7 linked regions of the Callithrix jacchus genome follow. The protein of the gene in region 5 interacts with the protein of the main gene of each other region in a pairwise test. Links are inferred from orthologs where the notes say so. Each region holds a gene or a part of one and is shown on either strand. Other genes may lie near its edges.

What was found.
Region 1: the proteins of CEP76 (region 5) and PARD6B interact in binary tests that used the Homo sapiens proteins (3 or more experiments, as listed by UniProt). The two-hybrid records come from large-scale screens. The link is inferred for Callithrix jacchus from reciprocal best matches to the Homo sapiens genes CEP76 and PARD6B.
Region 2: the proteins of CEP76 (region 5) and AKAP7 interact in a two-hybrid assay, tested with the Homo sapiens proteins (3 studies listed by BioGRID). The two-hybrid records come from large-scale screens. The link is inferred for Callithrix jacchus from reciprocal best matches to the Homo sapiens genes CEP76 and AKAP7.
Region 3: the proteins of CEP76 (region 5) and CRYBA4 interact in binary tests that used the Homo sapiens proteins (3 or more experiments, as listed by UniProt). The two-hybrid records come from large-scale screens. The link is inferred for Callithrix jacchus from reciprocal best matches to the Homo sapiens genes CEP76 and CRYBA4.
Region 4: the proteins of CEP76 (region 5) and BANP interact in binary tests that used the Homo sapiens proteins (3 or more experiments, as listed by UniProt). The two-hybrid records come from large-scale screens. The link is inferred for Callithrix jacchus from reciprocal best matches to the Homo sapiens genes CEP76 and BANP.
Region 6: the proteins of CEP76 (region 5) and KIAA1143 interact in binary tests that used the Homo sapiens proteins (3 or more experiments, as listed by UniProt). The two-hybrid records come from large-scale screens. The link is inferred for Callithrix jacchus from reciprocal best matches to the Homo sapiens genes CEP76 and KIAA1143.
Region 7: the proteins of CEP76 (region 5) and NHLRC2 interact in binary tests that used the Homo sapiens proteins (3 or more experiments, as listed by UniProt). The two-hybrid records come from large-scale screens. The link is inferred for Callithrix jacchus from reciprocal best matches to the Homo sapiens genes CEP76 and NHLRC2.

Annotation. Positions count from the first base shown.
Region 1 is NC_133506.1:46,271,386-46,275,580, reverse strand, and holds the start of PARD6B (partitioning defective 6 homolog beta), read right to left. Parts: upstream 2,801-4,195; 5' UTR 2,595-2,800; coding exon 2,529-2,594; intron 1-2,528. UniProt on the Homo sapiens protein: Adapter protein involved in asymmetrical cell division and cell polarization processes. Probably involved in formation of epithelial tight junctions.
Region 2 is NC_133505.1:137,944,879-137,948,008, reverse strand, and holds the end of AKAP7 (A-kinase anchoring protein 7), read right to left. Parts: intron 2,505-3,130; coding exon of another isoform or gene 2,308-2,504; exon of another isoform or gene 1,651-2,307; coding exon 1,445-1,650; 3' UTR 501-1,444; downstream 1-500. UniProt on the Homo sapiens protein: Probably targets cAMP-dependent protein kinase (PKA) to the cellular membrane or cytoskeletal structures.
Region 3 is NC_133502.1:197,352,606-197,356,584, forward strand, and holds the start of CRYBA4 (beta-crystallin A4), read left to right. Parts: upstream 1-1,179; 5' UTR 1,180-1,187; coding exon 1,188-1,208; intron 1,209-1,808; coding exon 1,809-1,859; intron 1,860-2,447; coding exon 2,448-2,566; intron 2,567-3,979. UniProt on the Homo sapiens protein: Crystallins are the dominant structural components of the vertebrate eye lens.
Region 4 is NC_133521.1:45,581,195-45,585,435, reverse strand, and holds the start of BANP (protein BANP), read right to left. Parts: upstream 2,801-4,241; 5' UTR 2,717-2,800; exon of another isoform or gene 1,329-2,716; intron 1-1,328. UniProt on the Homo sapiens protein: Controls V(D)J recombination during T-cell development by repressing T-cell receptor (TCR) beta enhancer function. Binds to scaffold/matrix attachment region beta (S/MARbeta), an ATC-rich DNA sequence located upstream of the TCR beta enhancer.
Region 5 is NC_133514.1:49,805,184-49,808,683, reverse strand, and holds part of CEP76 (centrosomal protein of 76 kDa), read right to left. Parts: intron 3,420-3,500; coding exon 3,234-3,419; intron 2,491-3,233; exon of another isoform or gene 1,973-2,490; intron 1,722-1,972; coding exon 1,624-1,721; intron 1-1,623. UniProt on the Homo sapiens protein: Centrosomal protein involved in regulation of centriole duplication. Required to limit centriole duplication to once per cell cycle by preventing centriole reduplication.
Region 6 is NC_133516.1:27,524,864-27,529,001, reverse strand, and holds the start of KIAA1143 (uncharacterized protein KIAA1143 homolog), read left to right. Parts: upstream 1-1,338; 5' UTR 1,339-1,351; coding exon 1,352-1,459; intron 1,460-3,316; coding exon 3,317-3,461; intron 3,462-3,510; exon of another isoform or gene 3,511-4,100; coding exon 4,101-4,138. Other genes in the region: kinesin-like protein KIF15, read right to left, coding at 1,072-1,258.
Region 7 is NC_133513.1:106,805,814-106,809,313, forward strand, and holds part of NHLRC2 (NHL repeat-containing protein 2), read left to right. Parts: intron 1-2,148; coding exon 2,149-2,604; intron 2,605-3,500. UniProt on the Homo sapiens protein: Required for normal embryonic development.

The sequences.
Region 1 (4,195 bases), on a different chromosome or scaffold from region 5:
TTTAAAAAATAAAAATAAATAAAAGAAAAGAAAAATAGACCAGGTAGGGTGCAGTGGCTCATGCCTGTAGTCCCAGTACTTCAGGAGGCAGAGATGGGGGCATCACTTGAGCTCAGGAGTTCAAGATCAGCCTGGGCAACTTGGCAAGACCCCCGTCTCTATTAAAAAAAAAAATTACCTGGGTGTAGTGGCGCATGCGTATAATCCCACTACTCAGGAGGCTGAAGTGGGAGAATCACTTGAGCCCGAGAGGTTAAGGCTGCAGTGAGCCATGATCGTGCCATTGTACTCCAGCCCCAGTGACAGAGCAAGATCCTGACACGAAAAATAAAAGAATTAATAAAAGGACCTGCACACTACCTATTTCGTTACAAACTCTTAGGGATTAGTGTTGTAAAAAAGCTGTGCTATCACTAAAGCAATGTCAAAGGAAATACTGTTTTAAAAACCCCTCCAAATATTTTTTAAATGATTAGATGACAAATATTTCAATCCGCTGAAAATAAATGTATCAGAAATATATATTTGAAAGATAGAAGGTGTCACAGACACATTAGGAATACTCCCCTACCTATACCTTGCCTATTTGTCAACAGCTAGAATAGTGCATTCAGTGCATTCATTCAGTGCATGTTTCTAGAATCAGTGTATGAGTCTACTTAAGAGACATGGTTCACTAAAAGTGCAGTATGGCAGTTCAAATATACAACATGTAGTTTAGACAGAAGTATGTGAAAGATTCAAAAATCAGTTGACAAGAGAAAGGCAAAAAGCCTGAAATTCCAGTTTTAAAGCACTCAAGGTTTCTTAGTACTAGAGATAAACTACTATTTGATTGTATTTATCAGCATGCTGATAAATACTGATAAAACAGAATTCCAACTCATTTTTTATGAGAAAAAAATTAAAGATTTGCTACCCAAATTAGGGCTATAAACTTATTTTTAAGATTATGCAATATCACAAGTGTTTTTCTTTCCATAACCTCAACGCCCACAAATCCAAACGAGACTTATAACAGAAATGCTGTAAGAAGGTTCAACCACTGGGCACGGAACCACTACTGCCACTATACCGCTAGAGGAAAAGCTCTGCTACATATTTTGGGTCATCTTCACGCTATATAGCTCAAGCAAGTCACTTCAATTTGCTATGCCGTGCACATGGCACACAGACACACGAACATTCCTTAAATTGCTATAACTACACTTCTTACTGATTCTGAAACTAGTGCCAATCCTCATTTCAGTGCCAAATCACATTTTTAAATGATGTTACAAACAAATGTAGATTTTCTCGATGTGATTCTCAGTTACAGAAACTTACAGAACTTTGCTTATCAACCGTAGACAATAAAACCATTCTACCCAGAGGCTCTAGAAAGCTTTCCTTACTCCACTCAACTCACTCCTTGATTCTGCATACTCCTTAGTAGGCTTACAATCTATGACGCTCCATTACTTCTTTTTTTTTTTTTGAAATTGATACGCTTTCAATTTTTTCGTTTTCTGTGTTTTGGCCTTTTCAATTCTATTTTAAATGTTCCGAGGGCCCAGCCAGTGCCCTGTTTTGTATTCTGCAGTGCCTAAAAGTTACTGTTAAAAAGGCATGAAGGCATTGCAAAAAAAGAGCTTGGGAAGTCATAACCTTTCTGAACCTCAGTCTTCTCAGAGAATTGGACTAGACTATCTAAGCTCCTTTTAACTCTTCAACTCAAGAAACTTCGTCGAAAATGTTCCCGTAGCTGCCGATCACCTTCAAACTCCATCTCAAAACCCCCTTTGGAAGGCATTCCCTAACTAATCCCTACAGACTCCCCTGCTCACCGAGCCTTGCGATTTAGGAATTCAGTGAATACCGAAATAATTATCAGCAGATTGGCATACCGCTGGTCAAGGGGAAAAACACTTGATGTAAGTAAGTAGCAGGATGGAATGAAAAGAGCATCCAAACTCAAACTGTAAAGTGCTACTCCAGCGTAAGGTGATAGCGCTAATTTTACAGATTAAATGCATACCAAAGTTAGTTCTAGAAAGAGCGCTAGCAGGAAGCAAAGGGAACTTTTCAAGGGCTATTTAGTTCACTGGGCTCTCTCCTTCGCCACTCGATGCGCCCCTGAACCCCAGAAAGGGGGAACGAGGTGGTCCAGGGCCCTTTATTCACAGCCCAGCAGGCAGGATTCCCCTACATCTTTTGAGCCGCCTCGCATTCCACTAAATGTGTGCCATCCTCGGGCATACCTTGGCCCCTACTCCCAGCCGTGAACACGGGAATGAGATTTACGGGACGAGATTAAACGCTGGATTAGATCTTCTTCCTGCCGGGGCCATGGGCGGACGGACACTAGCGCCCACCGACCCCCGCCGCACCCTCCTCGGCAAGTTTATTACCCACCATCCCCCGCCCGCACGTCCAGACCCCGGGGCAGCTCGGACCGTCGCCTCCCCCGGCGCTCCGAGACCTGCCCAGCCTCTCCCAGGCCCTGGCCCCCCAGGCCCGCCGCTCCGCCCAGCCCGTGCCCCGCGCACCTTGCTCTTCACCTCCATGGTGCCCAGGCAGCCGCTGCCCGCCGCGTGCCGGTGGCTGCGATTCATGCTGAACGCCGGGCCAGCGGCGGCCTCCTCCGGCCGGGCGGCCCCTCTGGAGAGCAGGGAGCGAGTGCGCGGCCGGCGGGCTCGGAAGGCGGCTGCGGCCCGGGAGCCTCCTCACAGGCACCTGCAAAGAAGGCGGCCGCACCTCTGGCGTCTGCGCCGAGCTGCACTCGGTCGGCTGCTCACACGGCGGGACCGAGGGTCGGACTGGCTGTGCGGCGGGCGGAGACGCAGCTCCCTCCCTCCGGGCCCCGGCGGCGGCGGCGACGACAGCGCTGGAGGAGGAGGAGGAGGAGGGGGCGGAGCGGAGGCCACAGGCGCCGCAACCTCTCCCTCAGCCACCTCCTCCGCGAGCCCGCGCGCGCGCACCCGAGCCGGGCCACAGCCGCGGCGCGTGCGCGTGCTCACCTGCCGCCCCCGAAGCTGCTGCAACCGCTCGCGCTCCGCCCACACCCAATAGGAAACGCGCACCTGCGCCCGCGGCGCCAACCAATCGATACACGCCTCGCGCGATGCGTGGGCGGGCCGCCTCCTCAAAAAACCCCGCCTTTCGCTGCGCGATTGGTCCTGCGCTTCGAGGGAGGGGCGGGATCACCTGAAGCCGTGGACCTACGCCCCTCATCAAGCCGGAGAGCCAGAGGGCGCATGCGCGGGTTCTGGAGTTTCCGCCCGAGGAAAGCACGCGGGGCGGTCGGCCGGAAGCGCGAGCGCACCTGAAGAAGGGCTCGGCTGGGTGGGTCTTTTGCGCACGCGCAAGCGCGCGCCTCGTTGTCCGGCGCGCGAGTCACACGCTTGGCTCTGGGGATGGGGCGCCTAGCGCTGCCGGTGGCCGAGGCTCCACGGGGCTGTTTGGTGTCCGCCGGTCCCCCTCCCCGCTTCCACTTTGGGAAGCGGCATCCCCTCCACCGCCCTTTAGCGTCGCTTAGGTGTCCCGCTGCAAGTCTTGTTTGCAAAATTTAAGTTTTCTAGCTTCTGTAGCAGTTGCTGGAGGAGAAGCTTAGGGCTCTCTTGGCTTGACTTTGTCCGAAGAGACTCTGCACGCCCTAAGTTCGTCAGGTCGAGAGGGAAGGAAAGTGGGCTTGAGGCGCGGGAAGGCTCCTTGCGGGCCCAGCCTCCCAGAGGATTTCTAGTCCGGTCTTCCAGTGCTTTTTTTTTTTTTTTTTTTCTTTAAACCTCTGAAGTCCTCTTCCCTCCTCCCGCCATTCCTTAGCCATTCGCTGTTTCTAGTAATGACAGCCAATGGGTTGTGTTCGTTTCCCGGAGTGACCAAGCTGTGTCCCAGAGCAACAAAACTCTGAATTCTCCTCTCTGAATGTCCCAGTCCCTGAGCCCGGCCTCTCTTCACACAGACCCTGTTGGCCATGGGGAGGAGAGGAGAAGACTGAAGATTTGGGCTGGAGGAGATTCCCAAGTCCCAAGGGCTCCCTGTGGGTTCTGGGAATCCAAGAGCTGTTGAAACCTGCAAACCAGAAAGGGGGTGGGGGAGTGGAGGTGGAGGAGGAGGGTCCAGCTTTAGATCTGGCAAGAAGAGTGGTTTGAGTGCCTTCCTCCCCTTACCTCCCTGCCCACCTCGGATGCCTCCTAACACTTGTACCGGTTTCCCA
Region 2 (3,130 bases), on a different chromosome or scaffold from region 5:
AGCAGTGAGGCCTTGGATAAGGTGTGCCACCTCTTGGAGTCTGTTCCCTTCTTTGAAACACAAGGCAAGGCCAAAACTATCTTTGCTTTCCACCTTAAGGATTTACTTAAAGAACCCATCTACAAACAGTCAAGCCCTCTACCACTGAAAGGGGTTTCACAGCAAACAGCTGCAGGATTCTGCACCTGGATGGATCTCCACTTTTCATCTTTGCTAGGATGTCACATCACTGGCACATTCTTAGCTGTTTAATTCTCGGTGAAGCTGAGAATTTAGATTTTCTTTGAATTTAAGGTTCTGCTGTTAATTCTCGGTGAAGCTGACTGATTTGATACGATTTTAAAGCATGAAGTTGATGGTGCTTTGACCACTGTGCGACCTCAGCATGAAGGACAGGAACAGAAAGGTGAAGCAACACCGAAGCTGTCAGAGCTCCTGTTGATAACTTCCTTATGCCAACATAGATCCAGCTACTCCCAACAGTGAAGAGATGAGAAAAGGCAAGGGAAAACAGTATGTTTATTAAGAGCCAGGAAAATGCATAAACTCATTTGTAAATAAATGTAGTATAATTTACTCAGTGAAAAAATAGCTAAAATCCATGAGTAAATTGGATTTTATATTTGAAATGATTTTACACATTTGATCTCCAGTGATTTCCCTCTATCATGATCTATTGGTAGCAGCCATTTTACAATGACTATAGAAAAAGCTGTTACCAACAATCACCATAGCAGGGAAAGGTTTTCCAGAATGCTCTTTAAAACCGAACCAGTGCAAACACATTCAGATTACAAGGGATCTGATAAGTCCTGGAGCTTATCTTCGAAAATGTAAAAAATAAAAATCCCAAACATGAATTCCTTAAGAAATGAAAAAGCAAACTACATTTTGATCAGTGAAAAATATTATAAGGATATATAAAACATTCTTAACCAGTGATCGCAATAATTACATTTATAAATGTTCGTTCAAGTACTATTGTTCAATAAACATTCAAATTCTCATTAAAAGTAACACTAGATATAGACACACCTGGACAATGCTTCTTTTGATTTAGCAACAATCATGTCAACAGGAGGCAAGTGACCCTTCAAATACTGTTGTTGGCTCTGTTTTGTTCTATTTGTCTGTGAATGGTTTCTTCACAGTCTGTATTTTCTTCTGCAAGGACCCAAGAAATATCTCACAACGGCTAATTAAGAAATCATTTTTATAAAATAACTCTCAATATCACAGAAACAGACATTCTAAAACACAAGTTTAGCTCAAAAAATAACAGGGCAGAATGAGTTTTCTTTGGCAAGAAATTGCTAATTCCTTACCAAATGTTGGTTTGCTGTTGTGCAGACACTATCAGAAACTTCTTTGGTGTATACCAAAGAGCTACTTGGTAAGCTGGAAAGATTTCAGGGGCTATGTTGCCACAATTGCAATGTAGAGCTTATGTCAAAGTTGTGCCAAAAATAACATCATTTGCTGGATTACTGTTATTAATAAGTCTTCCTTCAAAAAGCTCCCTCCTAATTTTGGCCTGAATCTCAGGCTTTAATAAAAGTTCCTTTATCTGTTTCACTTTGGACTTCAGACCCATCATTTCTCGATGCAAAGCTTCATTAATTAATTCTTGAATTCCAATAGGTTTCTTGCCTAAGAAAAAAAATTATATAATACATTTCATTAAATATGGCATACTGACTTATCAAAATAGGATTTTAAAAAAACTTTAAAATGTTGCCCACATTTTATAGAAAAGGTTGCATTTCACCAAAATATATCATTTACATGAAACATAATTTACTATAAATAAAGATCACTGCATAGCAACAGCACACTTAGGACAGACATGAAACATTATGGACTAATTGTACAGATGACAATTTCAACAGTGATTATTTTAAACTTAGCACTTGATAGCTGTGTGTGAGAGTTCTGGCCTCAGATAAAGTAGTCAAATGCCCTGCTAAGCAATATAAATGGCAGTATTCCATTGATGGCAAGGCCTCTTTCGCGGCCTGTAATTTGTGTCCAGGAGGCATAACCCAAAGTTCTCTCTCCCTTGTGCATGGCTGAGGGCGAGTGAAACTTGGGCCATTCTTCTTTCATAAATTAATTTCCTTTGCCAGTCCCAGCACTCCATTTTTCTTGTTGTGTTTCAGAAACGCCATCACATCGATCATGAAAGTATTAGGCAATCTCCACAGACTGAACCAGAGAAACTTAAACAGCACGCTGCAAGTCAGTCCCTAGACTCAGCAGAGGGGAGCAGGGATGCTTTACACAGACTTGAGGACCTGTGTTCAGGCCTCATTTCCTGTTGTTCTCATTGTCATTGCCATTCCGATCAGCTGCTTCAGTTTTCACAGAGCTCCCCTCCCCCGGCTTGTTTTTATTCTGTGTCTCCTCCAGATACTGCTGGACAGCCTTGAGCACCGCGTTCTCCACCAGCCTCTTACTGAGCCTTACCAGTTCAGCATCATCAGGCTCCCCTCCGTTCTTTTCACCTACATTCCACAATAGAGAAGAGAGGTCACTGAGATCACATTGCCATAGAAACTTGGCATGCAGGGGCCGGCTAGTTCCATTAGTTAAAAAGAGCAAGTGTAAATTGGATCTATAAATTCAAGAACAGTGGGTTGGCTTTTCATTTGGTATTTGCGGAAGTAGGAGCCTGTCTATTCCTGACGCCTTCAGATTGAAAAGTAGTTCATTAGTCCCAATCTAGACAAGCTCTACCTAGCAGCGCTGGCTGTTTCCCATTTATATGTGAATTTCGGTTCTTGTCTCATCCAAGGCTAATTACTACTACTAATGTCCACGTCCCCACCACGTGGAGCCTCAGACATGTGAATTCACTAAGTATATCTATGACCTCTTCTGATTCTCCAATATCAAATATCAGATCGAGATTTCCCTACGATCTCATTACTTAAGATCACTAATTTAAAAATGCGTGGCCTATAGCTTGGTTGTTAATCAATGCTCAGCAATGCCATGAAGAGAAAGGCAGTTACTACCATTAGGAACTGGTTTAAAATAAGCTTATAAGGCTAGTATTTTTTTGATGTCAGTGCTATCACTGCTATTGAAGAAATAGGAAATTCTTCAAAGAAAAATTATGATTATGATG
Region 3 (3,979 bases), on a different chromosome or scaffold from region 5:
GGGCTAATTTTTGTATTTTTTTAGTAGAGACGGTGTTTCACCATGTTGGCCAGCCTGGTCTTGAACTTCTGACCTCAGATGATCCACCTGCCTTGGCCTCCTAAAGTGCTGGGATTTCAGGCATGAGCCACTGCAACCGGCCTAAAGTCATGCATTTGATAGAGCTGCGTTTCACAGCCCTGAAAGGAAACAGGTGTGGCCACTTTACAGGTCTCAGGACTCAGAGATCCTCCAGGTCGCCCAGGTGTTAAGAAGCAGGGCTGGATTTCATCTCGGATGATTGGGTTTCCAGTCATGCTCTTTTCCTCTGCTGTAAGAGGCTCCTCTTAGGCCAATTCAGAGGGCAGGGTTTAGGGACAAGAGGCACACCGCAAATTGTACAAGTCCTGGATATTTGGCAAATGTGCTACAGTTTGCAAAGCATGTTTGCAAACAACAGTTCCTTTATGCTGCCCCCAGAACCATCTGGACTCATCTGCGGACCCAGCAGGCCCTGGGCTCGCCCTCTTCTCCTGCCTCACTTCCCTCCAGGTCTTCTGGGCTCCAGGCCAATTGGGCTACCAGCTCTTTCTTGTACATGTGCCCCAAGTTCCCACCTCTGAAATTCTTCTTCGAATGCCTCTCCTTCCATTCTGACTCTGTACAAATCTTCCCCATCCTTCAGAGTCTCGTTCCAATGCCTCCTCCAACAGGCAGCCTATCCTGATTGCTTCAACTGGAAGAGAAAGAGGAACGAGAGGAGGAATGGAAGAGGCATTTTCTCAATGTTTATTCAGTACCAGGCATGTTATATAACCTCGCAACGACTCTGTGATATAGTCTGTTTCTGCCCCATTTTATAGGCAGAAATTGAGGGGAAATGACTCGCCCAAGCTCACACAGCTAGGAAGGAAGCTTCTGGACTCCTCATCTAGTGCTCATTCTCCTGCTCTAGTCAGGAGCCCTGTGGGGCCGATGAAGGCAAATCTTCCACCTCTCTCCTTCGTGGTGGTTGATCCCTGGGGGTGGTGATCTGATCTATTCGCTCCCTGCTAAAGCCAGAGCTGCTGACAGCTTGCCATTGGCTCTTCAGCCAGGGCTGGCTTTTGTTTCTGCCGTCCAGTTGCTGAGTCGGGGATTTGTCTCCCAGGGGCCCCTCTTCCCTCCCTGCCTATAAGAGCCTGTCCTCGGCTGGTCTCAGATCTGACATGTTCCCTGGGCCTATCTCGGTAAGTCCCAGGTTTGGAGAAAGGGGTGGGATCAGAGTTCTGAGTGAGCATCCCGGGAGGCGAGGAGCCCAGGTCCCTAGTCCTAGGGATGTCACTGTGTCATCCTGAATGCCATCCTCATCCTAAGCAAGGATTAGCCCCAACCGTCAAGACCAGCGCCCGCTCCCTTCATTTAAAAACAGAATTATTCCTGTAGCCCTGTTGCCTACATTTCCACCATCAGAGCTACCTCTGGGAGCTAGGTGCTGTCTTTGGAAGGGTTCTTTCACACTGAGCATTTTAGCACTCACTGGGGCGATGCATCCACCCACCAGCAGCCAGAGAAAATTTCCCGAAACAAGCAGATAAAAGAATATTAAGTTGGGATCAGAGGCAAAGAGACCCAGCATGGGTGAGTTTTGAGATGGGGACAGGATGGAAGATGGCATTAGTGACAGATGGAAAGGACAGGAGAGAGACAGGCCAAAGCCACATATTGCCCCTAGCCCAGTCACTCCTGGACTTCTCATCTGGATCCTGACCAGGTCCTAACTACTCCTCTGCATAAGGAGGAGAGCAGAGGGTCAGGGTGGGAGATGATGACTTTCTTGTTTTCTGTAGGAAGGGGCCACGATGACCCTGCAATGCACCAAGTCAGCAGGACACTGGAAGGTAGGAAGGGGCATGGGGAGGGGGTGTCCAGGGCATGTGGGAGGGTTCCGGTCCCCAGGAATCCCAGGAGAAGGGCATTATGAATGCCTGTTTCGCAGAGGCACAATCAAGGCTCAGAATCAAGAAGGGACTTGTATGTCACATACAGGGAGATCAAATGTGCACTTGGGTCTGCTGGTTCCCAAAGTTGACTTGTTCCACTCTTGGCAGAGATTGCACAGTCTTTGGGTATGACTTCATTGACCATCTCTGTGTGTATTTGTTTGTTTTTGTAAAGCTTTTGAATTTATCACCAGCCTTTAAAAGCTTGGAAGAACCACGTAAAAGTCCAGAACTAGTGACTGTCTTGAGAAATTGGAAGGTCTGACCCATATTCCCAATTCCCACCTGGCAACCATTGGTGGCCACCCATTTACCTGGCGCCTGCGCTCTGTGGTTCTTCACAGTCCTCACCACCCCTGCCTGCCTGGCTCCTGGAGGCATCTGAGTTTGCAGTCCCCGCTTTACCTGCCAGATCCTGGAGTCAGCCCCAACCCCTCACCCTCCAGGGGACTCTGATGCGGATCTCCACCTTTTTTTCTGGCGCAGATGGTGGTGTGGGACCAGGACGGCTTCCAGGGCCGGCGACATGAGTTCACAGCCGAGTGCCCCAGCGTGCTGGACCTTGGCTTCGAGACTGTGCGATCTTTGAAAGTGCTGAGTGGAGCGTGAGTCTAGGGGGATACTGAGTTGGGGTAGAGGGTGGACAGGAAGGGACCGAGAGAGGGGTGTTAGGACTTTTAGATATTCTAGGTCCTCTCTTCCTAGGCTCTTATTGGTGTGCCCTCTTGAAGTGCTGAGGAGTGTGCAGGACTGCCATGTAAGGTTATGCAGGTTGCACACTGCCCAACAGTAGGAGGCTGTTGTTTGCACAGACCCTGACCACTGGATGAGGCAGCCCTGCAGGAGAAGCTCCTTAGAATCCAGTGTTGAGTGTAAAAATGTCCCTCCTAGCCATACATTGAAAGCCAACATCACTCACCATAAGTGGAAAGTAACTGTAAAAATACATGTAGTGTTTTAAATGCTATTAATTTTTAGCTAAATAGTCTTGTTGCTAAGCATGTGGCCCGATCATTTTTTGCAAAAATAAAATAAAATAAAAGAGAGTGTGAGAGAGAGAGAGAGATTAAGGAGATGTAGAGAGGTGTTAAGGACACGCTAATAACACACCAAGACTTTCTAGACCACTGCCCTTCAGTGGACCTCTCTGCAATGATGGAGATTTCTACACCTGCTGTGTCCATTTCAGAGCCACTGGCCAGAAGTGACCACTGAGGATTTGAAAGGTAGCCAACATGACTAGAGAACTGAATTTTTTATTTAATCTTAATTTATTTAAGTTTAAATTTAACATGTGGCCAGTGGCTACCATATTGGATGGAAGGTTCTAGAAGGTTGGAAAGTGGATAGAAAAGAGATGTGGCCAGTAGCTATGGATAGAAGGTTCTAGAAGGTTGGAAAGTAGGTAGAAAGGAGATGTGGCCAGTAGCTACCATATTGGATAGAAGGTTCTAGAAAGTTGGAAAGTAGAAAAGAGATGTAGCCAGTGGCTACCATATTAAATAAAAGGTTTTGGAAGGTTGGAAAGTAGATAGAAAGGAGATTTGGAGTCACTTAATGCTATGCCTGTGAGTGCCACCTGAGGTCATCTTGGGTGATTTTTACTCTTTTAGCTTCTGGTTTGTGCAGGTGGGAAAAGGGGATCAGATGAGAACAGAGGCTTTCTAGGGAGGGGTATGTCCAGCAGGCTTACAGACTCAGCCAGTAAGCAGACAATGAGCTCGGATAGATTCAGTTTATTACTTACACAGACAGCAAAAGCAAGGTGCACACGGTGTCAGCCTCCTGTGTCCCTTGTCCTATGGGGTGACACCAAAACAAAGGGGGCCGGATGACAGGCAGCCGAAATGGTGGGATCCCCGTGGCCGAAGATCCACTTTTATGCTTCAGCGATAGCCTGCTGCAGCCACCTGTGGGGCAGTGAGGTGGAACGCCCCACATCTCAGAGTGGCCAGAGAGGCAGATGAGGAGCTGCCACGTAGCCGTCTCCTGCAAGAGAGGGAGGAAAATGACAGACT
Region 4 (4,241 bases), on a different chromosome or scaffold from region 5:
TGGCTCGTGTGCAGGTTACAGAAAAAGCTGAGAGGCTGAAGAAGGAGGGGACCTGACCCTACCCTGAAAACAGGGTACATGAGATGGAGGAGGCGGCATGTGACAGAAGGGATCCGTCACCCATCATAACACAAAGTCAAGGCTGAGTAAAAAAAGTATCAGCTTAGGCCAGGGGCGGTGGCTCAAGCCTGTAATCCCAGCACTTTGGGAGGCCGAGATGGGTGGATCACGAGGTCAAGAGATCGAGACCATCCTGGTCAACACGGTGAAATCCCGTCTCTTCTAAAAATACAAAAACTTAGCTGGGCACGGTGGCTCGTGCCTGTAATCCCAGCTACTCAGGAGGCTGAGGCAGAATTGCCGGAACCCAGGAGGCAGAGGTTGCAGTGAGCCGAGATCACGCCATTGCGCTCCAGCCTGGGTAACAAGAGCGAAACTCCATCTCAAAAAAAAAGAAAGTATCAGCTTAAAGGGCACGTTAAAGCCCACCCTGGGCAACAGGTGTGGCAGCTCATGCCTGCAACAACTACTAAGGAGGCTGAGGGTCACCAGGGCTGGGTAGAGTCTGTGGAACACAGGGAGATCCTATCTCAAAAACAAATGAAAAGACCAGCTTACTTAGAGCTATGGAGAAGGACCTCAAGAAACCAGGCTTTGAAGAATGGGGCTGGGAGGTGGGGCAGGGGACACTGCTTTTCATGTAAGTCTTCCACTGACATGGCTGCTGTATACACTATGTTGATTAAAACACTGAATGGATGGGGTGTGTTTTTTAAGAACATCAGCTTAGAGAGACTGAACTGGAGCCCTGGCTCTGTGCATCTGCACACATGCCCTCAGCATCTGCAGCCACATCACCTCATCTATGGAGTGGGGGTCACGGTGAAGGATGCAAGATGTTGAGCTGCCCCCACAGCCTGAAGCTCTTTTTTTTTTAAAGATTAAAGCCACAGCCTGGGAAACAAGGCGAAACCCCCCCCACTATACAAAAATTAGCCAGGTGTGGTGGCACCTGTGGTCCCAGCTACCTGGGAGGCTGTGGTGGGAGGATCACTTGAGCCAGGGAGGTTGAGGCTGCAGTGAGCCAAGATCACCACACTGCATTCCAGCCTGGCAGACAGTTAAAATCCTGCCTCCAGAAAATAAAAACATTAAAACCAGTGAGCACAGAATCCAACATTGCTGAGAAACATTAAGTTTGCCCTGGCCCCGTGGCTCCCTTGTGGAGAGGACCTTTCAGTTAGTGGTAAGCGGGTAACAACTGCCTACCTGGAATATTTCTTGAGTTGTAAGTAAATACAGAACACCTGTTTATTAACAATAATCACCTGTTAACATGTGGATCGGAGCCTGCTGGGGGCCTTCAGCCTGGAATGCTGTCAGCCCCGAGGCTCAGCTCCGTAGGCTATGGGCCCCGCCAGACCCTCGATGCTCTTCTACCTGGGCGTCTTCCCACTGCCTCCAGCGCAGCCTGGGTGGAGGTCTCCCTGCCCAGTGGTACTTGCTGCAGCTTATGAATATATTCTTATTTGAATTGCAAGGCAGGGGAAATGCACCTACATACAGTTTCACCTCGTTTCGGTGTTTTCTTCTAGCACTGGGTATTTGCGAGCTGCGGGCGAAATGACCAGATCTAGTTTTAATTTGATGTTTTCTGATCTTCCTCAGAACCACTCACTACTCCGAGCTATTTTTCTGTCCCCCAAGAACTTCCAGCTACAAGTGTACCCTAAGACTGCCTCCTCTTATCGGTTATTTATTGCAGCGCAAGTTCCGCCAACGCCATCAGGCCCTGGAGTACATTCCCGGGCAGACAGGCAACTCCAAACAGAGAATGACCGGCTCCACATCAACTGTGCGGCCCGGGCCTCCCCGGGGAGGGTGCGAGCTCGCCACCGTTCAGAGCCCACACTCGTGCACCTGCTCACAGTTCTTCAGGGCTGATGTATCTCCCCAAGAGCAAGACAAGCCCTGCCACGTCCTCAGGGAAAAACCACAGTCCCCTCCAGCAAGGCACTGTCTCCAGTGCGCTCACACAGTGGGGATGGAACGTCATCTACTTTCTGCACCCCAGGGAAAAACAAACGGCCCCCTTTTTAGGGGCTGCACCACAGAACTCGCACACAGGCGCTGAGGAGGGGGCCCCCGGGAACGGGCTGGGGTCCTCGCCGAGCTCGGCGGCAGCCCTGAGATCGCCCGTTTCGCTGCGCGCCGGAGGCTTCCGCGTGCAAGTCCTGGGCTACTGGGGCTCCTGTCCACAGCCATGGAGGAGGCACAGAAACGGTGCCCGTCGCTCACGGCTGGCTGGCAGGAGCCACCCCCGAGGGAGACCTCGGTCCCCCGAGGAGCACGGGCGCGGTTCTAGGCCTTTCCAGTCTCCCCGCCGCGGCCCCGGAGCAGAGATCGGGAGCTCGAGGCCCCCGGGCCGGGCTACGGCAGCCGCGGCCCAACGGACGCCGGGGCGCGGCGGGGCAGGGGGTGCGGAAGCGAGGAAGCGGGAGCCCCTCTTCCGGGGCGCGGCCAGGGACGGGGAGCGAGGAGCTGGGGGCGCTCGCCCGGCCCAGACAGTTGGCGGCGGCGGGGCTGCGGCGCGGACGGCCCGGCGGGCGGGAGGGGGAGGAGGAGGAGGAGGAGGGAGGAGGGAGATCTCGCTCTCGCTCTCGCCCCGCGGGAAGGGGGAGGCGGAGGCGCGACCGGCTGCGGGAGCTGCAATTACCGTGTGGGCTGCGGAATTCTCGTGGTGTTTGTCGGGGAGATGCGATAATGGCGTCCGTCCTCGCGAGAGAAGCCGCCGCTCTGCGCAGGCGCCGCGAGCCCCTCCCCGCGACGCTCGGCCCCCGCCCTCCGCGCAGGCTCACTGGGCGCGCAGGCCCGGGGGTGGGGCCGGGGCCGGGGCGGGGCGTGCGGGCGGCGAGGCCCACTACGCGCACTTTTCCCGCTCGGCCTCCCGGTGAGCATGCGCAGGCTGGCTTCTCCCGCGACGGTATCGGCTTCCCAGGGCTTTTTTCCCCCCGTTTTTCGCCCACGCGCCTGGCCTGCCTGAGAAAACTCATCTCAGTGGACTGTCTGAAGAATTTGCATCTTCTTTGAGATGGAATGAATAGGCATTAGCTTCCTCAACGACTACATCTCCCAGGGTTCCCTGCGCAAGCTAGGAGCGATGCATTCTGGGACTCGTAGTGCCTTCGTCTGGACCCTGCCTGCCGGGACTTGTAGTCTCTCCGGACTCCGGTCGCGGCGTCCAGTCCCCGCACCAGGGGCTGCTGGGACTTGTAGTTACAATGATTCAGGTGGGCTGTGCGCCCCCAGCGGGTCCTACTTGCTGCTGCGACGAGTCCTGCCCTGAGGTTCCGGAGCGCTGGGAGGCGTGTTTCCAAAGATGTAAGTGGTCAGGGGTCCCCATTGTCCGTCCAGAGGGGCCTGAGTTCACGCGCGCGCGGGGGGGTAGCACACACAGTAGTGATTATGGTCTTAGACATTTCCTACATGAAACACATGCCTAAGTGATGGCGGCCAGGCGCCGTGGTCACGCCGGTAATCCTAGCACTTTGGGAGGCCAAGGCGGGCTGATCACTGGAGGTCACCGGTTCGAGACCAGCCTCGCCAACATGGTGAAAACCCGTCTCTACTAAAATTACAAAAATTACCTAGATGTGGTGGCGCAGTCCTGTAATTCCAGCTACTTGGGAGACTTACGCAGGAGAATCACTTGAGCCCAGGAGGCAAAGATTGCAGTGAGCCGAAATCTTGCCGTTGTACTCCAGCCTGGGCGACAGAGTGAGACTCCGTCTCAAAAAAAAAAAAAAAAAAAAAAAAGGATGGCATCGAATGTGCACACGTTATATTTTATGTAGAATAAATGTGCAAATGTGCATTTGTGGTAATCCTAGGAAAAAATTCCCAAAGTATAGGGCAATTCCTGGAAATGTCATTCCTGGTTATCTCCCTCTGTTTAACTGGACTGCATTGCCTTTCATTTCTTCTTTACACTCGACTCTGTTTTCCGAATTATTTGCAATGAGCAAGAATGCCTTTGATCTCCCAAACCCAGGGCAAGGGAGCTGTTTTCACTGGGAGAAGAAAAGGCTTTACCTTGATAAAACCAGGACTGAGCGCAGTCACAGGCCGTGCGACCATGGGCAACCTTACCGAGTCAAAGTCTCCTCCAGAATGAGGCCCAGAGGTTCCACTGAGGCTGGCGGCTGGGTTACTCACAGCAAAAGAACCTTACAAACACTCCA
Region 5 (3,500 bases):
CCAACTTACTACCCCAAAAATAGAGCCCAAACATTTACTTTATAAGCCACATAAATATAACATGATTAAAACTCATGTATACACATATGTAAAGGTGTATTTACACCTTTTATTTAAGAGACAGGTTGGAGTGCAGTGGTACAATCACAGCTCACTGTAACCTCGAATTCCTGGGTCAAGCAATCCTCCCATTTCAGCTTCCCAAGTAGCTGGGACTACAGGCATGTACCACCAATGCTTGACTGATTTTTAAAAATTTTTGTAGAGACAGGGTCTCATTATGTTGCCCAGGCTGATGCTGAACTGCTTGGTCTCAAAAGTGATCCTTCCACCTTGGCCTCCTATAGGGCTGAGTATTTATCTGAGTAACATCAAGGTTGGTTCCCACTATGTGTTTTCAGGTATATATATATATATATATTATTAACCACATTAATATAAATATAAATATAAATATATATATATTATTAACCACATTAATATAAATATAAATATAAATATATATATATATATATATATATATATATATATATTAACCATGACACATCTCAGATGCTAGAGATTAGAGGGAGATCAGAGTTTACAAAAGGAAGGAAAAAGAAGTTTAAAGAAAATAGGGCAGGACACTGCCTGAGGGAGAAGCACTAGCTTCTAACCACAGGTCTGTAAAAGGAACAATATGACAGGCAGGGTAGAGTAAAGGGTGATATATGTAATCAAGAAGAACCATTCCACAGGTGCCATCCCAGCAAGTCAGCAGATAATCAGAACCTGCAAACTAAAGACTGGCAAGAACTAAACAGAGATGACAAGTCCAATGTGAAGGAATGAAAAAACCTGCCAATCTTAAAAGACCCAAGAAGAAAGTAATTTCATCAGAGACCTGACAGTGGAATTAGGGGGGAAAAAAAAGCTTCTCCAAACACAATCTAGAAGTGGCAAGTTGGGCCAGGCGAGGTGGCTCACACCTGTAATCTCGGCACTTTGGGAGGCTGAGGCAGGTGGATCTCCTGAGGTCGGGAGTTCGAGACCAGCCTGACCAATGTGGAGAAATCTCATCTCTACTAAAAATACAAAATTAGCCAGGCATGATGGTGCACGCCTTTAATCCCAGCTACTTGGGAGGCTGAGGCAGGAGAATAGCTTGAACCCAGTAGGCGGTGATTGCGGTGAGCCAAGATCACACCATTGCACTCCAGCCTGGGCCACAAAAGCAAAACTCCATCTCAAAAGAAAAAAAAAGTGGCAAGCACTTCTACCCTGAGAGGACAGAGCAGAAAAGACATAAGCAGCAAGCTTTCAACAATAAATATCTATGAAAAAAATGTTAAAATCCCACCCCACTGAGGTTGCACTTTACTCCTTTGTCCTCTTCAGCTTTATCCTGTAATTCTCATGTTGTCTCAATAAATTTTCATCGTCTTTCCGAAACTAGACTACAGATTCTCCCAGGAAAACAAACTTGTCTTTATTTTCTTTCTCACATTTTCTGTAAACCTTTGAGTGCTAATCAAGAAAGTAATAAATAATTTTCTAAAGAAAAGAGTGCTTTCTAGGATCAACAGGTAAATACACTTCTATGAAAACAGACACACACAAAAAGAGAAACTCATTATTATTTACCTGTGTGTTCACTACTTCTTGAGATAAAGTTTGATTGAGTGGTGGATACATTTCAAGTTTTATATTTAAAATTCCCACAGAAACTTTTGATTCTGTGCCTATAAACATAAATATTTAGAACTTCAGAGATTTCAATACTATATATATTTAGCCAACCAAAGTCTAAACAAAATAATTTAGGCACTTGGTGTTTTATCACTTACATGAAATAAAGATAACATTCGACATTACCTTTAATATTCGTATTAAAAATGAACCAAATCAAAAATTTTTTTAAACAAAGATGTTTAATTATAAGGAGATTAACTATTTTCTTAGCTTTCTAATACATTTTTTCTTCTTTAAGTAGAGATGGAGTCTCCCTACATTCCTCAAGCTGGTCTTGAACTCTTGGACTCAAGTAATATTCCTACCTCAGCTTTCCGAAGTGCTTGCTGGGATTACAGGAATGAGCCACTACGCCCGGCCTTTCTAACATGTTTTAAGAAACTTTTCTGACCTAAAGGATTTCAGATTCCTATCTTCATTAAATGTAAAATGTCAACCAGACTTACATTAAATTTAAAGTCAAAGCAACTGTTAACACCTCATTCTGTCTCCACACACACAAAAAATTAGAAAACATTTATATTGTCACTTATAATAACTCCCATTTATCACTCCCCATTTTCAATTCACAGGCTGAGTAGAAATTTTCAAAACATGCCTGGATTTAAATTAGAAAACAAATATGCATCACATCAGAACTATTTAATGTTTCCTTAGAATATGCTTGTTTCCAGGTCACTGCTATACTATCATGTTAGGCTATTTTTGAAGACAAGTAATTGGGTATTGTTTTTGAAAATAAATTTCCTACATAAAGAACAGTTTTTCTATAATTTTTATTTAAAGAACAATACATTCTTTGTATGACTTATTAAAATCTAAATTAATAAGGCTATGCTGTCCACTGACAAGGTTTAACTCTGTGACTAAGTTTCAAAACCAAAGCAATTCCATTATATGTTATAGATAAAACATTGGTAGGTTTTGTTTTTTTCATTTTATTAGCAAATGTGTTATATAGCAGGCAGTGTGCAAGATTCCAAGAAGACTATGGCAATTAAGATAGGCACCATCTCTGCCCTCAAGAAGTACTTGATACTGACACTGAGCAAATTATTACTTCTAGGTCTCACTCACCCACTGTAAAAGGTTGGGAGAACACCTACTCCATATTTTGCAAGAATCACTGGTACTAAAGCGGATGTATTCCAGAGTGTGCTGGCTGGACACACCTAAGTTTGTATGTGTGTCAAGAATATTTTCTTTATAGACTATATTTAATCAAATGAACTTGAAAAAAATTAAAACCCTCAAAATTCCTATATTCATTTTCCAGAAAAAACAGTTCTCCTAAGGCAAGGTTAGATTGTGAAGTGCTATACTGATACTATTCTTTAAGACATTTCTCAAGACTAGGCTGCTGGAGTCCAATTGTAACTCTAATGAAATTCTATTTTACAAGTCTCCCTCTTGGATTATTAAAGCATTTTAAGGACAGAAAATATATTGCCAAACAAACTGTGGCTATAAAAAGGTTAACAATGATATAGTAATCATCATACCTACACCCATAAGTTCCACAGTCAGACTGGTCACTCCATTTTCTGAGCCCAAAACTGATCGCCATTCCAGAAAATAGGATGCTACTAAAGTTGTCTCACCAAATATGTCTGTTTTGATCAGCACCATATGAATTGGATCACTTATTGATAGCATTGTTGTTGAATCAGCCATTCTAGTTCCATCACCTAACAATATAATCCAAACGAAATTATACTACACTACATATTCAGTTAGGCCAACATAAAAGGATACTTTTATTAAAGAGT
Region 6 (4,138 bases), on a different chromosome or scaffold from region 5:
AATTTAGTGACCTGATCTATAAGTGGGAAAAAAAACAGTATGATTGTTCAGAAAGCAGGATGAACATTTCTCTCTGATAAGATACTATTTTGTGAGTTCATTGTCCTTGAATACTGAAAATAATGAAGGAAAATAAATATTTTAGACGGAAAAAGATAGCATAAAGAGGTGTTCAGATAATGACGTGATCGACCTAAAAGGTTAATAAAACAACAAGCCCATCAAAAGCAATTACAATTGACAGAAAGCTGGAAACATTAACACTGTTGGAAAGCTCAAATGACAGAAGTTCACAAATTCTTAATCACCAAATCTAGGCCTCTCCTCATTACCATTCAGACCACTCACAAAGATCCCATTAAATCGGCTCATAATCAGCTTTAAAAAACAAGACTCCTTAAGAGACGTGGCAATGTAAGAGGTGGCGCACGTACACAGGAACAACAAATGACTAGTGAAAACTGAAGGGTTTATCGGAAGCGAAAATAACAGTGCTCTCCTCCGTGAAAAAGAGAAAGAAATCGGACGGGTCTCCTTTAAGTGAAAACAGACTGTGAGAATATAAAGACATTGCTTACATCTGTTTTAACATTCAATTTATCTAAGGAAAGAAGAGAAAGAAGTGTTTGGAACATAAATAAATCCTTCCTTACAGGAAGGTCAGAAATGTGGAAATACGCAGAAGCTGGTGGGAGCATAAGCCGATTGTGAGACAAGAACATCTGGAGAGGTAGCCCTGGTCGGGATGTGGGAAGAGGACTGCGAAAAAACAGCAGAACCAAGGGAAAGAAAAGGAAGAACCGCAGGTCCACTGCTCATCCCGAGTGCCTATAAATACGCCAGACTCTTAGCATGCGCAGAGGACACGGAAGAGGTGAGCTTTCCGGCCAGCCTATTGTCTTTGAGAGACAGAGAGGGATTCCCAAACTCACCCGCCGCTCCCGCCCCATGTCAGTCAGTTCCTGCAGCTCCTGCCCAGCAAAAACCTTGCGGGTGGTCACAGGCTGCTATCCTTTCACAGCTGTTTTGGGGGACAAAGATAGGGTAACGAAGCCGTGGCTCCACACTTACTTTTGCAGCCGGGCGCCATAGCGCCCTCACCCTTCGTTCCCGAGAACAATGTGGCTGATGCCCCCACCTCCCGACTGCGTCGCGCGACTGAATTCTGCCCGCTCAAGATGGCCGCGATTTTAAATTTGGCGCTTGGCTCAGACGTTGACGCCCGCGAGGAGGCCGCCATGTTGCCCGGCCTACGCATCGGGGGCGTGGCCCAGCTGACGTCACAGGTAAGTGCCCTCGCCTCTGTATCGTCGCCAATCTGTCGCGGAACTTGTGTTTACTCGGAGCTACCATGAGCAAGCGTAACCAGGTATCTTACGTGCGGCCAACCGAGCCAGCGTTCCTGGCTCGCTTCAAGGAACGCGTCGGCTACAGGGAGGGGCCCACTGTAGAGACCAAGGTGAGCTCTCGCCAGTCGTGATACTTTGGAAGCGCGGCCCGCCCGCCACTTCCAATTTCTGCCTTTACTTGGAGGCTGGGTGCTGTCGGGTCCTACTTTTCACCCGCGCTCGGCCCCGGTTCCGGTGGAATACGGCCCCAGGCTGGTTACTTTCAGGCGACTACAGCCCCCTACGCTCAGGAAGCTCAGTAGTTTTCAGAGCGCTACTGTGTTCCTGAAAATGACCTGACGTGTAAACCGCCTGGTCCTTGATAGATGATGGTAAAGCAAGATCACTTTCCTGTCTCTTCTTTCTCACTTGTTTACCTCAAAAGCTGAGTTCGCAGGGTGAGTTACAGTTACAGCGTAGTCCCGTATTCCAGATAAGGACACAGATGCATCAGAGGAATCACTATCCATGGCAGCTATAGCCTCACAAAATGGCTTTGATTTCTTTTTTTTTTTTTTGAAACGGGGTCTGGCTGTTACCCACGCTGGAAACAGCAGGGACTTACAGAAATATTTGCTACCTATGAGCTATGCACAGCATAAGAAAGAAGAGGAGGTAAATACTTCCAGAGGCTCTAAATCTGGAAGGCAGCTTGAGTATGAGTTGGCCAGGGGCAGTGGGGCTTAATAGGCAGTAGGAATTTGTTCAGAGACAGGAAAAGCAAAGGAGCTAATATGTTTATGAGTCTCCAAGTACTCAAACCTTGCTAGAGCCTAGATGCCATGAGAGTGGCACGGGATAAAGCTGTGGTTATGGGCTGAGGTGAATTCTTGGCAGGGCTTTGTTGCCTTGTTTAGGAGACAAGGAAGACTCTCTGTGAGGTAGAGTAAGGAGCGATTGTGTTTGAATACCATGTGAACACACATTTTGGTGTGCATACCTTTCAACCCAACAGTTTCACCTCTAGTAACTGTTAACATTAGAAGTTCTTGCATATACGTTCCCAGAAGTGAGCAAAAAAAGTGTATGAAGTTTTTTCATAGTAGAAAAAAATCTGGAAATAAGCAAAATTTGTATTTACAAAATACTGGTCAAATCATGAGATTACCATATATGTAATTAAATGCAAGGCATTGATTTTTTAAAAATCAAATAATTTTATGTGTGTCTTAAAGCACTGCGCAAAGATTTTTTTTTTAGTTAAGTTGAGGGAGTGGGGCTTTTATGGTGTGTGAGATTTCAAAAATCTGAATCAACTGGCAAAATATTACCATTTGTTACACAGACAGGGAGTGCATGGTTTCTGTTATGTTATTCTCTGTACCTCATATTTGAGAAATTTCATAAATAAGAAAAAAGCAAGTCACAGTAGCATGTACAGTGTTATTGGTATACAAAAAGTTTTATGTACCTACATAGTTTTATAGACTTGGAAAATAGCTAATAGGATATCTACCAAACTGAAGCTATTATTAGGAGGGCGAAAAGATGAGCAGAGGTGAGAGAAAGAGTACGTTTTACTTGCTGCTTTCTATACTTCGGTGGTGTTTATTTCTTGTCTAAGTCGGAGAAGAGACAGGTGAAGAGTGTTGATGAGGAGCAAATAACTGACATGGCACAGTGCTGGCCTGAGTAGGCTAGGAATGACAACAGTACCCAAAGCAGAGAGCCCCACACACTAGTAACTACAAGCTGGGTCCTGCTGAGATTGAAATGAATCACTGGACAGGCATTTCCGGGTGAGTGGCAGTGAAACCTGTTCCCTTTGGCAAGCTCAGTCTTTTTGGAGTTACTTTAAAATTAATTGCCAAATTCACTTACTCAATAAAGATACCCTTCTCACGAATAATTACAGTTTCTCTTAGAGGCAGTGCTTCTGTTTGTCTGAAGATCAGTGATCTACATGTTGTATTTGTGTTTTTCCCTAGAGAATCCAGCCTCAGCTCCCAGATGAAGGTGGGGATCACAGTGACAAAGAAGATGAACAGCCTCAAGTGGTGGTTTTGAAAAAGGGAGACCTATCACTTGAAGAAGTCATGAAAATTAAAGCAGAAATAAAGGCTGCCAGAGCAGGTAGGTCTGAAAGTAATCTGTTTTTTCTAACAATTTAAGGAGCCCAGGGTACGAAATTGTTTATTTTATTTAGTAGCATGGTATGTTTCAAGGAGACAGTTCCAGGTTCAAGCCTTAGCTTTGACACTTACCAGGTGTGTAACCTTGAGCAAGTTATTACACTGCTCAGCCTTAATTTCCTGATCAGTAAAATGGAAGTAATGGTACCCATTGGGTTGTTATAGGATTAAGTGTGAGTTTAAGTAAAGACATCCTATTTTTTTTTTTAAATAGATGGTTAGATTTATAAACCACTTGAAAAATGTCTGTTTCATTACTGTTCAGTATGCTATGTAGTATATTTTTCATTATTTCTGAACATTTACTACATTGCTTTAGGGGAAAATGCTGTAGTTCCAATCACTTTCAAAACACTTAAAAATACAACCTAATTGTAACTGGGACCTGACAATATTATAGAATACTTTAGCATGTGAGTTTTTATTCAGTAACTGCATGTCTTGAGGGCAATCTAGCTAGAAACAATGGAGAGGATCAGACTGAATCAGATTCAGGGACACCCTTAAATACAGTATGAGATTTTTCAAAGAAAAAATAATGAGGAGAGAAGAAAGTTCTTAAAAATCTGTTTTTGCTCAGATGAAGAACCAGCTTCTGCTGATGGAAGAATCCTATAT
Region 7 (3,500 bases), on a different chromosome or scaffold from region 5:
ATTATCTCTTTTAATCTGCCTGACCTATGAGGCATTTACTGTTATTTTCCTCATTTCACAAATGAGAAAACAAATGAACAGGTTAAGTAACTTGCCCAACGTAACAGGTGTGTGGTTCTTCCCACTTCCCCTTTACCCACATTCCTCAGGCAACCATTCCTCACTGCATCTTTTCTCTCAGCTGCTTTCAAGGTGTGTGTGTGTGTGTGTGTGTGTGTGTGTGTGTGTGTGTGTCCTTCAGCAGTTTGTTTATGATATGTCTAGACATGATTTTAATTTATTCTATTTGGTGTGTGCTGAGGTTGAATTCTCTAAATTTATATTTTTAATCAAATTTTGAAAGTTAGGGCATTATTCATTTATTTTTTTTTCTGCCCCAATCTATTTATTCACTTTTTCTGGGGCTCCAGTTATACTTACTTAGATATTTTGAAACTGTTCCACAGGCCCCTGAGGTTCTGTTTATTTATTTATTTCAATCTTCTTTCTTTGTGTTCTTGAGATTGGATAATTTCTGTTGAGCTATCTTCAAGTTCATTAACCTTTTCTTTGTCATGTCCTTTTTGCCAATGAGATCATCTAGTGAACTTATGGTATTTTTCAGTTCTAAAATTTTTAGTTATTTTTTATAGTTTTTCATTTCTCTGTTTATGTTTCCTATCTTTTTACTTATTTCATTTGTGTTTTTCTTTACCTCATGGAGCATAGTTATCTATTTGCTTGAAAGTCTTTGTCTGGTAAATTGAACATCTGCTTTATTTTGGCATTGATACTGTTGATTGTTTTTTTTTCTGTCTCTCTCAATAATTGACCATATTCCCTTTTTCTTTTCTTTGACTGTCAGGTAACTTTGGATTGTATCCTGGACTTTGGAATGTGATATGGGTCCTGTTATAGTCCTCTGTGGAATATTGGTAGCTTTATTTTAGTAGGCATTCAACCCTCTTACTTCAGATTACAACTTCTGTCTCATCTCCGTCAGCTCTCTCTCCTATAAACCCGGTTATTCAGTTTTCAGCTCTCCAAGCACTTGCTATACTTTTTTGAATCTGTTCCATGCACTGTAGTTTAGAGGTTAAACTAAGACTTATAAGTGTTCATACTCAGAAATAAGGAGTTGCCTTCACCAGCTCTCTTTCCCTCAGGCTTCTCCCACACTGTCCAGGTTACGTGGTGGTTACGTGGTTTCTTGGGCCAGAATTGCAGTGGGGTTTCTATTGGAATTTTAGTGCTTAATACAGCTCTAAACCTGGGAACCACTCTCAGGGCAAAGCTAGGAAAAGGGTGGAAAAGGAAAATAAAAATTGGCAGCTCATTCTTCTGTCATTTACTTTTCTGAGTTTTGACCCTTCTGTACAATCTACCTGGTCACTTTTACTTTTCTCCGTCTTCAAGCATGTTTCAGAATTAATAGTTGCAATAGGGAAGTAGGAGTTGCCGGGAAATTATATCTCTGCTACCTTGGTAGTCAATATTGAATTTTTTTACTGAATCCAGCCTAACAGGTGGTTTTTGTTGTTTGTTTGTTTGTTTGTTTTTGGTATTAACTTCTTAAAATAATGTATTGATTAGATAAAAGAAGTATGTTGTTTTCAGCAGTTCTTTCTACAGAAAGGTTTGTTCTAAGAAGCATACAATAAGAATTTTAAATAAATCAAAAGCTTTATATTATGGAAACGTCTTGCTTATATTTATTTTGTTACTCTATAATGTAAGGTTAGATTAAAAAAAAATAAGAGAGTAATATAACAATAAATACCTCCCCAAAACAGCATCATCAACTCTGAGTTTCAAAGGGACTTTATTATAGGTGGAAAAAATTTCAGCATTTCATAGGAAAATAAAGACGATTTTTATAGCATTATCTAAATAAAAGAAAAAAAGAGTTTTAATCCTGCAATAGCCATATGAACTTAATCATATTTGTTTTTATGTAATCATCAAGATTGTCATGAGATTTAAATTTCTTAGTTTTTTATGTGTGTGTTAAAATGCAGTTGAAGATCCCAGTGTAGTTCTACTTTTTGTTTTTTGTTTTTTTTATCTAAGGACTTTTAATATTTGTTAGTGACCTAAAACCTAATGTGTGGATGATGATATTCAAACTTAAATATTTAATAATGTTTACATATAATTTTTTCCTTTCAGATGGTCTTCTCATTATTAGTGTTCACTCAGCTAAGTTTCCAAATGAAAAAGTCCTGGATAACATTAAGAGTGCCGTTCTTCGATACAACATCACCCACCCTGTGGTTAATGATGCAGATGCCAGCCTTTGGCAAGAACTAGAAATTTCCTGCTGGCCAACTCTAGTCATACTTGGACCTCGAGGAAACATGTTGTTTTCTTTGATTGGCGAGGGACACAAAGACAAATTATTTTTATATACTTCAATTGCTTTAAAGTATTACAAAGACAGGGGGCAGATCAGAGATGATAAAATTGGAATAAAACTCTATAAAGATTCTTTGCCACCTTCACCATTGCTATTTCCTGGCAAAGTAACAGTAGACCAAGTTACTAATAGATTGGTAATAGCAGACACTGGACATCATAGAATTTTGGTCGTTTGGAAGAATGGACAAATTCAGTATAGCATTGGAGGTAAAGTTTGCTTCTGATTATGATACATGTTTTCAGTAAAAAAATAGTTCAGGTAAATATAAAAGTTGAAATGTCTGAATGAAAACTAATTATAGAAAGGTGATATACCTGGACTTAACTTCCTAACACAAATTTTTTGTTAATTAATGTCTGATGTCTGAATTAACCTCTTCTTACTCCCTCATAAAACAAGCAAAACACCAAAAAAGCTTCAGGTCAAAAAGAGGAAATAGTTCAGCTTTTAGGTATATTTACATATTCAACCTTGTTTTGTTAAAAAACTGCCAGACTTACTGTGTCTTATGAAAACAGATGTTTTAGATTTCAGACATTTTTAAGTGGAATTATTATATTTCACTTTCCAAAAACGAATAGCCTTATCTTTTTAAAGATTATGTCAGTGCCCCATGAACCTGAGAAGTAGATTATAAAATAGATAAGCAGAATTTGTACATAATTTTCTCTCCTTTCTTCTATAAGAACTTGAACATGTTTCTGGATCTACTTCCAGAATAGAAATAGTTGTAGCAGCATGATACTTATAATGTGTAAGTATCATGGAAGCATAAATCATTTTGTCCTATATCTCCCTGGTCTTAGATCTGAAACTGCCTCTTGGTTACATCTACATAATTAATAAACTCTACTGAGTACATTCTTATTAATTCTGCTTATGTAAGCTCAACTGACATCTGACAAACATGTTAGTCAAAGACAAAAGTAATTCATATCTTTTTGCAATCAGTCCTGCTTTAGTAATATATGCAGCATTAGTATGTAAAGTAGGAATGTCTTAGTTCTTAATATAAAAAAGCTAGTTGTATTCCTGTGCCTTGATGTTATTCTTAATATGCCAAGATGCAGTATGCGTTGTGTTTCATGGTATTTGTTTTGTT